3 linked regions of the Drosophila melanogaster genome follow. The protein of the gene in region 3 interacts with the protein of the main gene of each other region in a pairwise test. Each region holds a gene or a part of one and is shown on either strand. Other genes may lie near its edges.

Region 1 (4,482 bases), on a different chromosome or scaffold from region 3:
GCCGGCTCGCCGTTCCAGCAATCCATTCCCGACTTCGCCTTCTACGTGCCGGCAATTGTTGTTTTTACCCTGGCAGGTAAGTTGCGGATGATCCCCTCCCCTGGCCCCCTTCATTTATTAGCTACCACCTTTAGACCCCTCCTTTCCCCAGTGTTATGCATGCAATATCTTTATAGTCGTAGCGAAACCGCGACTAAATGGGTCGAAAGACTTTCACCAAGCGAGCAACTTAGTCAAGTGCTTGCTGGCCGTTTGATATGCACAGCTGTTGGATGTTTGGTTTTTCGTTCTTATCTGTTTTGATTTGAGATACCCTCGATTCGGATTGCCTTTGCGATCTTTTGTCTTACGTGTTCCATCTGGCCAGTCCGTCTCATTCCGGTTTTCTTGCGTACGTAGTCAAAAGTTTGTGGTTCTCAAGAGCGATAATGGCCCTCTGATAAGGAGTCGACCTGCCACCGTTCAATAGACTCTGTCGTACAGTCAAACCTCCGCCGCAAAACGTACCTTTTTGAAATCTTCGAATTTCCAGCATCTCTATTTTGAACATTGCTAGCGTATTTTTGCAGAGATCTTCAAGCAAAACATATTGGTTCCAAAAGTAACTTAATTAAAAAAGCCATTTCTAAATGAGCGTTGTATATGTTTTATAGGTAGAAAGATTAGAAGTGTTATCTTGATATAACATTTATATTAGCTGAAACATTGAATTCCAATTCTAGTGCTTGATATTGCAGAAATTAATAAAAGATCTATAAAATCAGTTCGCGATGTTCGTCTTGAACAATTCAAACTGTAGACGTTTATATGGTGGCCATCTTGTAACATTGTAGCCATCTATCGCTCGCGAATGGGACGGCACTCTTTACTGGGGTTTTGTCTTTATGTACTCGTGTGTCCGGCACTGATTAGTGGCTCTCCCTTATCGCATATGCACACATATGCTCTCCGCAATGCCAACTTCTTGCGATCACCTTTGAAAATATGCTGACGAAGGCAGGAGGCAAAACGAAAAGCGCAGCGAAAAGTTAACTAGTGGGCATATCTGGGAATAATGAAATACAAGCGACTGATTACACACGAGTGGCGGCTTATAATTATATTGATTTTAATATAAGTTTTAGAGAGACTCATTCAGTCCTCCCAAACAGCAGAAGCCGGAGCACGTAAGCACCGGCGATCTAGCGCCAAAATTAGTTAATATTGGAAAGTGTGCGATTTGGGGGGGATTAAATATCGTAGTTTATGTGATTTGTACAATCGTTATTATCTCTGCATGCCGCGTGTCAAACTTGTGTTATAGATAATCAAAATCCATTTTCGAATTCGATTCGTTTGTTTTGCCACGTTGTTTGTTTCTGTGATTTTGTTTGCCCCCCCAATAGCATGCTGAAATGCAGAAAGTAGAACCATAAACCGAATACCATGATTTCCTATATACCATCCATTCAGACGCGAACCGCTAAAAGCCAAAGAGCCCACAGAACCCAGCCCGTAAATTAAAGCCCCAAACAGAGATTAGATCATGGCTGAGGATCCGGTGAACCAGCAGGCATTCGCTGAGGACGTGGCAGCTGCCGCTGCGGCTGGAGGAGCCGGCGGTTTTGCCGGTCCCGAGCCCGGACATCCCGACTTTAAGATGCCCAGTGCCGAGGAGATCTGGAAGCTGGTCGAGGGCATGGAGGGAATTTCGGACGACGAGCGAGCCGAGCTCCGCGAGAGCATCTTTAACCCGAAGCCGCCGTCGCCGGAGGACTTCATGCGCCAGTACGGGCATCCGGGCCACAGTTCCCGGGAGTACCTGGTGTTCTTCGTGATGCTGGCCCTCATACTCATTGTCTTTGGTAAGCGTCCTCCGGAACGAGCCACTAACGAGTCGTATAACCCTTATCGGGCGCGATATACGCACCCACCTGGGTTTCTGCTTAAAGGGCGATAAGGTTTTAGGAGGCGGCTATGTCGAAGCACTCACTCACTCGCTCACGAGCCACAGCTAGAATGTTTGCTTCGTTTAAAAGCGTTCGATTTTTGATAAGATAACCAGTGGTAAGCGTAGGATCCACCGCAGACATAGGTAGAGTGGAATCCAAAGAGCAGTATTTGCCAGAGACCCATGCCGGGCTGTAGTTGACACACCACTTAGCCCCTTTTCCGAACAACCCAAAACATGAGTTGGTCGGGTTCCAGTGACGAGCTCGGGGTTATTGAGCAGCTGAAAAAGTCCGTGGAGTCGATCGTGGCCAAAACTGGGCCCAGCAGCAAGTTCTCCAAGGATCTCGTCCAGCGGATCGGCGAGATGCAGAGCAAGCTGGAGTCCCTGGCCGAAACGGATCGGCATGTGTTTCTCGCCGAGATGAAGGACAAGTTCCAGCAGACGATTGGCAGAATCGAGGAGCGAATAGTGCAGCACGCCCATTTCGCACAGACCTACTCCAGTTCCATAGTGTCGGCAGTGATCTTTCTCTTGGTCTCCATATTCGGTCTCAGTTCCCTTGATCGCATAATGTATCAACGTCACCTTACTAACCGTCTCCCTTCTTTCCGCATTACAGCTCTCTTTGGCTACAAGCTGTACAAATCCCTGACGGAAAAGGAGCTCAAGAAGCAGGAGAAACTGAAGAGCAAGCAACAGAAGAAGGCCAAGAAGTCAAACTGAAGGAGATGGAGGCGAGGATATCATTGACGTAGTGCACTTTCCGGCCCTGAGACCTTCCATCTTGTTAATCAATACAATCGCCCTGTAAATGACTAAATCATAAACCAGTAAACGTAATAAAATAAAACGTACCCCATAACTCTTTTAAATGCCACGGTAATTGTGTTGTTACGACGAGTCGAATTAATTGCCATTAAAATACGGCATCAGGAAATGCAAATCGGTGTCGTGACCTAACTTGTTGCTGCCATCTAGGCAATCCGTCCAATCCTGGCCTCCGTTGTCATGGGAAACGGGGTCGTTTTGTCGAAGCTTCTCCTGTCAGGCCAGCTATTAATAGTTAAATTCAGTTTCCAGTTACCCAGTTAAGCAGCAACACTCGGAAAGGATCAACAATTTTTGCGGAAATAAAAAACATGTCCTATTCCAGCCGTAAGTTAAAAGCTCAACCATGACTTATCTATTAATCTAATGTGTCAACATGCCCTTCTAGGATTTGGTTTCGACTTCCATCTGCCGGATGAGGGATGGTGCTACCCGAAGAACGACATGCATTTCATCCGCAGCGCGGAATGGGTGCCCGTGGAGAAGGCAGGCGTGGGCCGCTCATTCGCCAATCCCAATGGCGTGATCTATCCGCGGGTGGTAGGCATGATTCCACGCTACGGCGGCCACGTTCCGGGCAACAAATTTCGTGTGGGCAACACCTATGGCCGTTCCACCATCGACGCCAAGCGTCATCTGGCCCTCAATCATGATTGAGGACCGAGTTATCGGAACACTCACTCACCATTAGCCAATCAAATTCGCTGTGTTACGCTTACAGAAGCACCCGAAATAAATCGTATCCAGTAGAAGCCTGTAGAAAATGGCAAATAGAAATAAAATCATACAAATTCAAATGTCCAAGAAAAGCACATTTAATTTATGATGGCTTTTTCGAGCAATAAAATTAATTAAACTTTAGGTCACAAGATAAGAATATATTCGTTATGGTACACAAGGTGCCAAAAACACTTTTCTCCTAACAAATATCAAGAAAAGTAACTATAATTATTGATCGCACGCGAAAAATTTTAAAATAAAATCTCAAAAAGTATTTATTTCATTTATTATTTGACTTTTAGTACATTTATTACAACATTTCTGTAAATGCTTCAATATTTTTTTATAATAATAAATACTTCTTGTTAATTTTCAATATTTTTAGAAATGAAAGGAGTGATATGTATATTTAAACGCCTTATGAGAGTATCAAGTATCAAAAAGGCGCGCAATTTAAATTCTTGCTCCGCTGCAACTGTCTGTATAACAATATTAAAACATCCTTACTTTCCTAGCTTTCTATTACTAATGTACTGTCGGTGCTTGGGGTCATATATTTTTAGATTTTTCATAGGAATTTTCATCTCAGAAAAATTAAATTAAACCGAAATCACGTAGTGTTACCATAACGCAATGAGAGCAAATACTCTGTTTTGTTTGGATTCCGTTGGGTATTTTGGGGACTGCTGGCGAAAGTCTTTCGAGAGATAACGAGTAAATAAGAAATCATCGTTAGCAAAAAACTTTTTTGAGAAGATCACCTAGCAAACCGACTGATTATCTGTAAGATACGAAAACGAGCTGCTTTCCCAGTAGCAGAGATCGGCGACTGATCCACGATGGGCATCAATTGCCTTAACATCTTCAGACGTGGCCTCCACACGAGTTCCGCCCGATTGCAGGTGATCCAGAGCACCACGCCCACCAAGCGGATATGCATCGTAGGCGCCGGACCCGCCGGCTTCTATGCCGCCCAATTGATCCTCAAGCAGCTGGACAAT
Region 2 (4,930 bases), 410 kb from region 3:
TGGATCACCATCGCCTGCTCCACGGGCTACGGCGGCTACATCAACTCGCTGCTCTCGGCGCCCTGCCTCTATCCTTTCTCCCGCGTCACCTACTGCGCCTACTTGGTCCACCCGATAGTCATCCGCTCCATGGCGCTCAATTCGGACGCGCCGCTTCACCTGGGCGGGGATCTGATGGTGAGTTGGAAGATGAAGTCGCTGTAGAATCGCTGTCTAAGAAAACAAAATCTATTAAATTGGTTATACAACGAAAAGGGTTTATCATAACTTATTTATTGCTTATTCCAGGTTGTCATGTTCTTCGGTCTGACGGTGGCCTCCTACTTCCTGTCCTTCGTGGTGTCGATGTCCTTCGAGGCGCCCGTCGTCACAATGCTGAAGATCCTCTCGCCTAGTCGAAAGAAACGCCTCGCCTAAGTCCTGAGCCGAGATCCGACCATTTCCGATTATTTATACCCTCCATTTTGTCATGTTATCTATTTCTTGTCTATCAAACAATGCCCACATATTTATAGCATCGACTCATCTGCACCCTCGACTCTTTCGGATCGTTATCTATACATGTACTTATTACTCTGCACCACATTTTTCACTCACAATGTGTTCCAGTTATAAAAGTTAAAAAAAAAAAACAAACAAACAAATCAAAATCGAGGAAAACATGACGTGCAACTTGAAGCGTGCAAATCAATTCAACCTATTTTTATCATATTTTTGTTTCATGATGTGTACATTTTAGTCCTTTAATTTATTCCAAAGGTTTGGAAATTTCGCGCGTGACGAAGAGAGAGAGTTATACATAGTACTTCATAGTTATAATTATATAAAACTCTAGTACCTAATTTTATGAAATCATGTTGTATATACTATATGCTGTATATTGTTATACATAAACCTTTAAATAAAAACTGCTACCAAATACAGTGTCCCAGCGTTTAGTATTTATTCCAACGATCATATATCGGATTGACAAAAAATGAGTATAATCGTTGTGAGGTTCTTTGGAGGTGTTCGCTTTTCGAAGTTCCCTATACTTTGGTAACACGTTGCATTAGTCTTTTAACATCATGGTCGTTCTTCTTGGTTTGGCATTAATTATGGTGTGCATGGTCTTGTGGTTCTTAAGGGCAGAGTTTCTGTTGAAGATCTTGGGGCATCGGGGACACTTGTAGGATCGCATTAATTATGGTGCATGGTCTTGTGGTTCTTAAGGGCAGAGTTTCTGTTGAAGATCTTGGGGCATCGGGGACACTTGTAGGATCGCATTAATTATGGTGCATGGTCTTGTGGTTCTTAAGGGCAGAGTTTCTGTTGAAGATCTTGGGGCATCGGGGACACTTGTAGGATCGCATTAATTATGGTGCATGGTCTCGTGGTTCTTAAGGGCTGAGTTTCTGTTGAAGATCTTGGGGCATCGGGGACACTTGTAGGATCGCATTAATTATGGTGCATGGTCTTGTGGTTCTTAAGGGCAGAGTTTCTGTTGAAGATCTTGGGGCATCGGGGACACTTGTAGGATCGCATTAATTATGGTGCATGGTCTTGTGGTTCTTAAGGGCAGAGTTTCTGTTGAAGATCTTGGGGCATCGGGGACACTTGTAGGATCGCATTAATTATGGTGCATGGTCTCGTGGTTCTTAAGGGCAGAGTTTCTGTTGAAGATCTTGGGGCATCGGGAACACTTGTAGGATCGTAATTCAGGTCTCGAACTATGTACGCGCTCATGGCGCCTAAGACCGCGGATTTGTGCGTAGGACTGGGAGCATTGTAAGCATTTGTAAGGTTTTTCACGCGCATGGACCCACATGTGACACTTAAGGTGCGCAGGTAACATGAAATACTTCCCGCAAATGTTACATTTATGTGTCTTCTTCAGCATTTTCTTCTTGGTATCCTTCTGGGCGCTGCTCTGGCTCACATTGCCATTCCCGTTGGAGTTTGAGTTGGGGCACATATTCTCCACGTTGTCCCCCGGTGAATCGATTGTCAAGTCAATTGTCTCCATCTCCTGGCTGCCATCGACTGGCTCAATCAGTTCAACATCGGAGTCATTCGATCCTTCTTCCTCATAATTCATCTCACTGACCACCATCTCATCCTGCTCAATCACCTGCACGCTGTCCATCCCGTAAGCAGTCTGCGCATCCAGCGCACAAGACTGGCAAATGGTCTTGGGAAAAGGATCCTTCGGTAGAACCGGGAAGCCGCACCAATCGGAAATCATGGTCGCTAGGGAAACGCCGGGTAGCGGCATCGTTTCGAAGATGCATAGCATGTTCTCCATCTCCCTCAAACAGACACGGCACATCCTGGAATCCATTGCTTTTAGTTAAATTTAATTTTTTGACATGTATCACGTTGGGATGGGAATGATAGTTTGGAAACACGTGCTAGGAACGACCGTTAGGGACAATAAAAACCGATAGTTTTTGAAGCTTTAGATCATCGATACTGCCGGAACTATCGATAGCTTCTTTTAATGTTTTGCCGGCTCTAGTGCCAATACCAATAAAACGCCGGCCAACGCACCAACGAGAAAACCGTAAGAGGAGGACATGGCCCTGCCCTCGATCTCCACGCTTCTAGGCGTTGCATTTCTGGCGTACATCGGCCACTCCATCTACCAGATGTCGCAGCTCTTCACTACGCTGCAATGCAGCGGTGTGCCGTGCTACACATCATTCCTGGCGGACAGGCCACGCCTGCAACTGGCATTGTTTTCCTCCCTCAGCAGAAGTCCCATTGCCACCGAGGTGCGGGATCTGTACAAGGCCAAGAGGTTCGACTATGATCAAAACTTTGAGCACGACTTCGAAGTGGATGTGCCGCTGAGGACGCGCCGGAATGGCTCCCTGTATCTTCATGTGGTCTTGGCCTTGGAGGGTGAGCCACTGGAATGGCGTAGCCTGCGCAGAGATGGGCCCACCGTTGTCCATACGATGAGTCTCACGGATTACATAGTGCCGCGGGCGGAGGCCTTTAAACTGCTTGGAGATTCCGAGAAAGGTGCAGCAGCCGCTGTCCAGGAGAAAGAAAAGAAGAAAGCCTCCACCACTGGACGTCCCAGCACCCACATCCGATCGAATGTTTACGTCACCCTGCTCAACGATCTCTATTCCGTTTCGCAAGCGGATGTCCCACCTGAAATGGCCCCCTTGATACGTGTCAATCGCAATCAACAGATCTTGCCCATCCTGCAGACTGATACATTTAATACGCGGCTAAAGGATCTAGTGCCCGTCACCCGCAATACCACCGAATTCACATTCAGCTTCCACTACAAGCCCGTGGGCGTGGGCAAGCTCCGTCTAATGCTGCTCATGGAACACGCCACCCAGGCGCTGCTCACCATTGGATTTGCTACCAAGGATATTGACGAGGTGAAAGGCATCTTTTCGGACACCAATGTATACCTTTTGTGTGGCACCATCTTTGTGTCCAGCATCCATGTGAGTAGAGATTGAAAAATTGCAACATACGTCATATGCTCCAGTCCTATAACTAATTTATGTTTCCCTTTTCCCGCAGATGCTCTTCGACTTTTTAAGCTTTAAGAACGACGTGGCCTTTTGGCGCAAAAAGCAGTCGTACGAGGGGCTATCAAGCCGCACCACAATGTGGCGAGCGTTTTCGCAGATCGTGATCTTTTTTTATCTGCTAGATGAGAATACGTCGTATCTGGTACTTGTGCCAGTTGGCCTGGGCACGCTCATTGAGCTGTGGAAGTGCAAGAAAATCTTCCGTCTGGAGCTTAGCTTCAGTGGCCTGGTTCGTCGCAAGCTGGAGCAAGTTGACCGGCGGAATGGTGACCAAGCTGGCGTGAAGTCAGGTCAGCTGGCGGAGGAGCAGAAGACTGATCAGTTTGACAGACAGGGCATGCGATATCTGAGCTATCTGCTGTATCCGCTTTGTATATGCGGAGCGGTCTATTCGCTCCTCTACCAACCACACCGCTCCTGGTACTCATGGACACTTAACTCACTGGTGAACGGAGTTTACGCCTTCGGTTTCCTGTTCATGTTGCCGCAACTGTTTGTAAACTACAAGCTGAAGTCTGTGGCCGCATTGCCGTGGCGCGCATTTATGTATAAAGCATTTAATACCTTCATCGACGACTTCTTCGCCTTCATCATCACCATGCCCACGGCCCATCGGGTGGCCTGCCTGCGCGATGATATTGTGTTTATTATCTATCTGTATCAGCGCTGGCTGTATCCGGTTGACAAGAGTCGGCTGGACACGGGTCTGTCCATTAGCGAGACCCCGGATACGGGCAACAGCTCATCCGCTTCCATTGCTGCCAATCGCAAGAAGCGAAATTGATCCTATATCAGCAAAAGGAGTAAAGGTTGCACATTCCGCCTATAGCTTGAGGTCTAGCCCGAGACGTAGTAATCCGAGTCCGTCTTTAGTTTACTAGTGATATTAATCCTGTGTTGTAGTCTAAACCGTTTAAAGCTTGTGCGTAAATCGTTAAGTTAAGAAGCATCAACTGAAAATGCGTTTTATACAATTTTAAATCAACAGCATCAAAGGATTGCAGAACTATGGAACTTACTAAAACACATAATTTTAAAGTATAAATTATGAAATATTGTGAGATGACTCAAACGCTGGCCTTTCACATTGTTAGATTGGTCAGCTAAAACCCTACAATAATATATCCAAATGTAGATCAAAACGTATTTTAGAAACAATCAGTTAACATGAAATCGTATAGGATCGTAAGGCTACAAGTGATTCTAAAATCTCAATTAACCAACAAATGCATTTTCTAAAATTTAAAGGGAACCCAAAAGTATCAAAAGGCTAAATATATATAAAGTCAACTGAAATCACTCGTAATAAAAATTAAACTTTAGTGTTTCTAAAAGTGAACCGAATCAAATTTTATAGACAGTTTTATATTTGTATGCCATTTTATTAGCTT
Region 3 (5,199 bases):
ACAATATGATTAACATTGCTTTCCAGTTCGAAAACGTAACAAGCTGCAATATCTCAATATTTTACGAAAGGGCCACGTAGGTGACGAAAAAAGTACAAAGTTGAAAATCAAATTGAATGACACGAAACAACTCATCAAAAACTTTTAAGATAAGCCTCTTACTAGTTCAATCTAGATTTTTACTTGCAACAGCGGCTAAAATATCAATAAATTAACTGATTAGGCAAAACATATATAGAACGAGGAATTTATATTAGTTAAAAGGTAAATAGTAAACCAATTTAGGGACGAATGCAACAAAGTAAACAGCGCAGATAAATAATGCTTCAGAATGTAATTGGCTAAGCGGCATATTTACCTGATTTGTTGTTGTTTTGGCGGCAGGTTTCCCATTAAACATTGTAAAGCAACAACAACAACAATAACAGCTGTCTCTCTTTCTCTCCCGCTTTCGCACTCCTGTTGTTATTGCTGTCTCGTTCTGGCAAGGAGTTTCGGTGCTGTTGTTGTTGCTGCCGCTAACTATTGTTGCTTGCACTTGTTGTATTTTTGTCACACAAACAAACAAACACGCACACACGCTCGCACACAATGTTGCACGTTGCGTGTGCCCTGCTGCTGCTGCTTCTTCTTCTTTCGTTACTTGCCGCGCCGCACGCTCTTCCTCTTACACTTCCCAAAGCCCCTTACCAATTGACCAATGGCATCGGAATCGGAATCGTAAACAAATGCAGCGCGCTCGCACTCTTCGTCACTCGAATGCTTTCGTCACGTCACCGTGTTCTCGCTTCTTTTTGCAGCAAATATGCACTCGATTCGCACTTTTCGCGACGACAACCGATTTTGGAGCTGTTTGGGGGCAGAGTGTGACCGTCGGGCGCAGCGGGCTGCACGTCGACTGCGGCGTCGCTGAAATTACCTAAAATATCTGTATGGCGCAATGGTGTGGCGTGGTGTTTGGTTACTACGCTGGAACGGTCACACTGGAAAAGAAAGCTCAATGCATTTAGCCAAGACAGGAACCAGTCGAAAGCTTAAATCGCCAGCTGTCGGCGGTTAGGCAAACTGCTACGGCTCGACTTTCTCCAGCTCGTCATAGGTGGCGCCACGGTTAGTGCAGATAATCATCTCATAGGTGGCGCCAATGATAGTGTTAAGATTAAGGCCTTTTAGCAACTTTCCTATAAAATAAATTGCGAAAAAAAGTATTTCCATGGGAAACTTTGTGCTGTCAAATAAGTGCTTAAAACATGTATTGATTACAACGTGTGCACATTAATAAGCTATGAAATAAAACGCTACGCCCGCCACTAATGAATTGACTTTAACTTTATGAAACGTTTTAATAAACTTTTCAATATACAAAGAAAGTTACAAAGAGTTTCGATACCTATAACTTTTTACCTCGGCAGACGAAAGGTCGAGTTATAAAGCATCGAGTGCATATATGTACACATTCTGATAACTGCGATATCTGTCTGAGTTTTACGATGCAGTGTTTGTTAAGTCAGTGGGCGAAGGCAAATGGTTAATTATGTTACAAGTTGACGCAAATTTATGGCCAACTAATCAATTGATTGTTGCTAATTGATAACCGATGTGATAACATAAGGCCCGCATATAGAAGAAATTCCTCACATCCGCAATACCTCGAAATTTCTATGACAACCACTTTGAACTATTATCACCAAAACTCTATGAAAGGGGTACTTTTTTTTTAGAATTACTGGGTGCATTACCATAAATTTTATCAGTTACGTTGCTCGATGTCGATCGAATTAAACTTAAATTTATACTTTAATCTGTATACTTCTGTTGTGTGTGTAAAAAATAGATTTATTAAAAAAAAAATGGAATAAAGGCAAAGCTGTCCGTCTAGATCCTCACCAGAACCTCGTAATTCTCCAGACGCACCTCCTCGCCACCGAATGGGATGTAGATGCAGCCGTGCGAGGGATGGATCTTGCCCACACTCAAGCTGTCGCAGTAGATGGCCCTGCCGACGTAGAGGGGCTCCCCGTCGACATTCGGACCGGAGGACAGGGCTCCGGGAGCCACATTTCCGTGCGAGGCCGGAACCCAACGGAATCCGGATCCCGTCAGCACCTGGACGTCGGTGAGCTCGTGCTCCGCCTGGGCATAGGCGGCATAGGCTTTCCCCTTCGCCGGCACCACTTTGGCTGGCAGCAGATCACCATTGCGGAACACCCTGCCCACGTAGATGGTGTCCCCGTTGGAATCGTGCCCAGCAACCAGAGCTCCATCCGGAATATTTGTTGCGGTGGTGTCGATCCAACGTTCCGGCTGGCACAGCACCTCGTAGGCAAAGATCTTAACCTCATCGGAATCGTAGGGAATATACAGGCAGCCGTGGGATGGATGCACCTTGCCCATGGTTAAGCTGCCGGCATGATAACCCCTGCCCGCATACAAATACTCGCCGTCCACATTCCGACCAACTTTGACGGCGCCCGGCGGCACCTCCCCGTTCTCCGCCGACAGCCACTCGTAGTTGTAGCCGGAAAGCACCTCGTAGTTCTCCAGCTCGTGCTCCTCGCGCGCATACGCCACGTAGGCCTTGCCCTTGTTGGGAATCACCTTCGCCGGCAGCATGTCGTTGGAGAAGAAGGCACGGCCCACGTAGATGGTGTCCCCGTCCGAATCGTGACCAGCCACCACGGCATTCGGCGGCACGCTGCCGTTGCTGAAGTGCATCCATCTGTGGTCTGGGGGATAATGGAAAAATGAAACGATTATTTAACAGCACACCGAATGGTATAACTCTTTAATTCTGTTGTTCATGGCAAGTAAACTAGTTTATTTGGCTAGGCCAAGTTAGTTTCCAAAATTGAATTAATTTATTTTGAGTTTCAACTGATTAAGTACTTTAAAGATTGGTAACTGTTTTATATCATCCACCTAGTTAAATGTTTTCATTTTTTGTTATGGCATCTTGGCCTTACGACCTATTTACCTGCCATTTTCTTGTCCGTTCTTCAGCAGCTCTGACTTTCAACTGTGAAAGTGGTCGATTTGATGGTCTTTTTGTGTTTCCGCCTCGATGTCGCTGATAGGGCTTATCGGGAATATACCTACATGGCCAGATAAGAAGCCCGACCTCAAGTGACTCAGATCTTGGCAAACTCTTGTTGAATTTCTAATCGATTGGCCAATTGGAAGTAATGGGGTTTAACATCGAGAAACAGGCAAGTTTATTTTATTAACCCATATAGTGAAAGTAAATATTGCACTAGAAATGTTATAAATGTTAAGTAAATTTGATTTATATTTTATTTTTTTATCTCGTTATAATTTATACATTTAAAATTCTTTCGAGTCGTCAAGAATGTAATTGCATTCATAATATCATAATGGTTATTACTTTTTTTTTTGTTGCCGACAAACTTTCTCGCTTATTGTTTGTTACATATAGCATATACATATTTCATGGAGCTGTAGTTAAACACAAAAAGTTTATTCCGCTTTTTAACATACTAATAACAATAGCTTGCGCGTTTACAACTCGTGGTTAACCAGTTATCTCGTTCATTTGTTGTGCCACCTTTTCGAGTTGCCTTACATCCGTGCATGTATCTCCATTTAACCGCCCAATATTCGCCAATTTGAATGGGGGAATCGCTTGATCCTTTATTTATTCGCCACATTGCAAATTTCTTGCGCGCGCTTTTCCGCTTTCCCACTTTTCCGCATTTCCACTCGTCCAGTCGTCCACGCACTTCACTTATTTAGTGGTCGCTGTCTTTGCAGTTCGTTTTCGTTCGTTTTCCTTTTGTTTTCCCAGCATTGTTGCCTCTTTGAATGATTTTTCTTGTTTTGCCTTTCAAGTGGATCACTGTTTTTTGTTTGCATTTTCGCCCATTTACAACTATTTGAACAAGGGAAAACGTGGAAAGCTGGGCGCAAAAGTTAAGAGGGGTTGCTGAAATTGCTGTGCAACGCAACGTTTGCACCTGTTTACAGTGGCTTGTGAATTCCCAATGCTGGACTGGTGGTAGGGGCTGTGTGGGGAGTGTCATTATTAAGCTTTACGATTTTTCCACGATTTCCCAGCAGCTTTGCGCGCCCTGCTCTCGAGCAAACCAATTAACCAGAGATAAGTCTAACTTGACTTCAAACTGGGTAAACAAGCTGCATTCTCGAAATACGCAAAAATGTTGCAGATTATAATACTTTAAATCAACTTTGTTCGGTTTTCGTTGTGCATCTTCTTTTTGTGGGTATGATGTTTTTATGCCACTGCAGCCTAATGAATTTGTTTTCGCCCAGCCAGGCTCCATTTGGCTTTGTGCAACGTTTTAACCTCATTTTGGCCTCTTTATTTAAACCCCCCCCCCCCATTTCTCTGTTTGGCCAACTTAATTTCACCTAATACATTTTAATCATTTCCACAGTACCACGAACTAAATGCCCTCCTTCATTAACCCCTTGCTGCTCCAACCCATCTATCTGTCACGCTTTCCGCTCTCGATTCGCATCCGTTCTCCATGGGTCCATCTTTGCTGGTTATACTTTTCTGGTCGCTTTGCTTATCCTTGCCACACTGTGAAAAATAAAGTTGGCCACACCTGGTTCAAGATTAACATAGCTCCTTAGTTCTCATCTTGATAAGAATACTACTTCTCTATTAATATTAAATTTAATTGTGTTATTTAATAATCCAACTTTATCAAGTACTTTAAATACATACTCCCAGTTTTTTTGCAGTGCATTTTCTATTGCAGGGCCAGTTGCAGTCGCGGTTTCGCTTTCTGGCCACACAATGCGGCAGTTTTTCGAGGGTAGCCAGGGGCGGCGAACGCAGGAGGGTTGCTTCTGGGCTAGGTGCATCCTGGTTTCAGGGGCCATCGCCGTGGGTCACATCCAGACGCACACATACATATGTATGTATGTATGTATGCATCCAAGCATGGACTCGCACTGTCTAGTCGTCGCCGGTCACTCACGTGGGTCTGCGGTTGCGACTGGTCTGGCTTTGGCTTTGGGCTTGGGTTTGGATTCCTCCTCCCTCGCGCTGATCCGCCGTATCAGCTAATGGGTGCAGAAGCAGCGCCAACGCTTATATAACCCGCAGGAATCAGCCCCCCAACCCTTGGGCCATGCCCACCCAACACTGGCAACATCAACAAACCAAAGCCAACCGAAATGTGGAGCATTCAGTGGATTTAATGGTGCGTCCTT

Evidence for each region. Proteins that work in one complex are often made in the same cells at the same time.
Region 1: the proteins of CG32633 (region 3) and CG18336 interact in a two-hybrid assay, tested with the Drosophila melanogaster proteins (one large-scale study listed by BioGRID).
Region 2: the proteins of CG32633 (region 3) and CG4318 interact in a two-hybrid assay, tested with the Drosophila melanogaster proteins (one large-scale study listed by BioGRID).

The regions. Positions count from the first base shown.
Region 1 is NT_033778.4:11,292,856-11,297,337, reverse strand, and holds CG18336 (uncharacterized protein), read left to right. Parts: upstream 1-2,751; 5' UTR 2,752-3,072; coding exon 3,073-3,088; intron 3,089-3,149; coding exon 3,150-3,418; 3' UTR 3,419-3,562; downstream 3,563-4,482. Other genes in the region: CG42336 (uncharacterized protein), read left to right, coding at 2,168-2,656; dare (defective in the avoidance of repellents), read left to right, coding at 4,321-4,482.
Region 2 is NC_004354.4:13,152,541-13,157,470, forward strand, and holds CG4318 (uncharacterized protein), read right to left. Parts: upstream 2,385-4,930; 5' UTR 2,321-2,384; coding exon 1,610-2,320; 3' UTR 921-1,609; downstream 1-920. Other genes in the region: CG32645 (uncharacterized protein), read left to right, coding at 1-177, 289-417; CG4332 (uncharacterized protein), read left to right, coding at 2,556-3,449, 3,529-4,323.
Region 3 is NC_004354.4:13,559,493-13,564,691, reverse strand, and holds CG32633 (uncharacterized protein), read right to left. Parts: upstream 3,022-5,199; 5' UTR 2,982-3,021; coding exon 2,975-2,981; intron 2,727-2,974; coding exon 1,876-2,726; 3' UTR 1,333-1,875; downstream 1-1,332.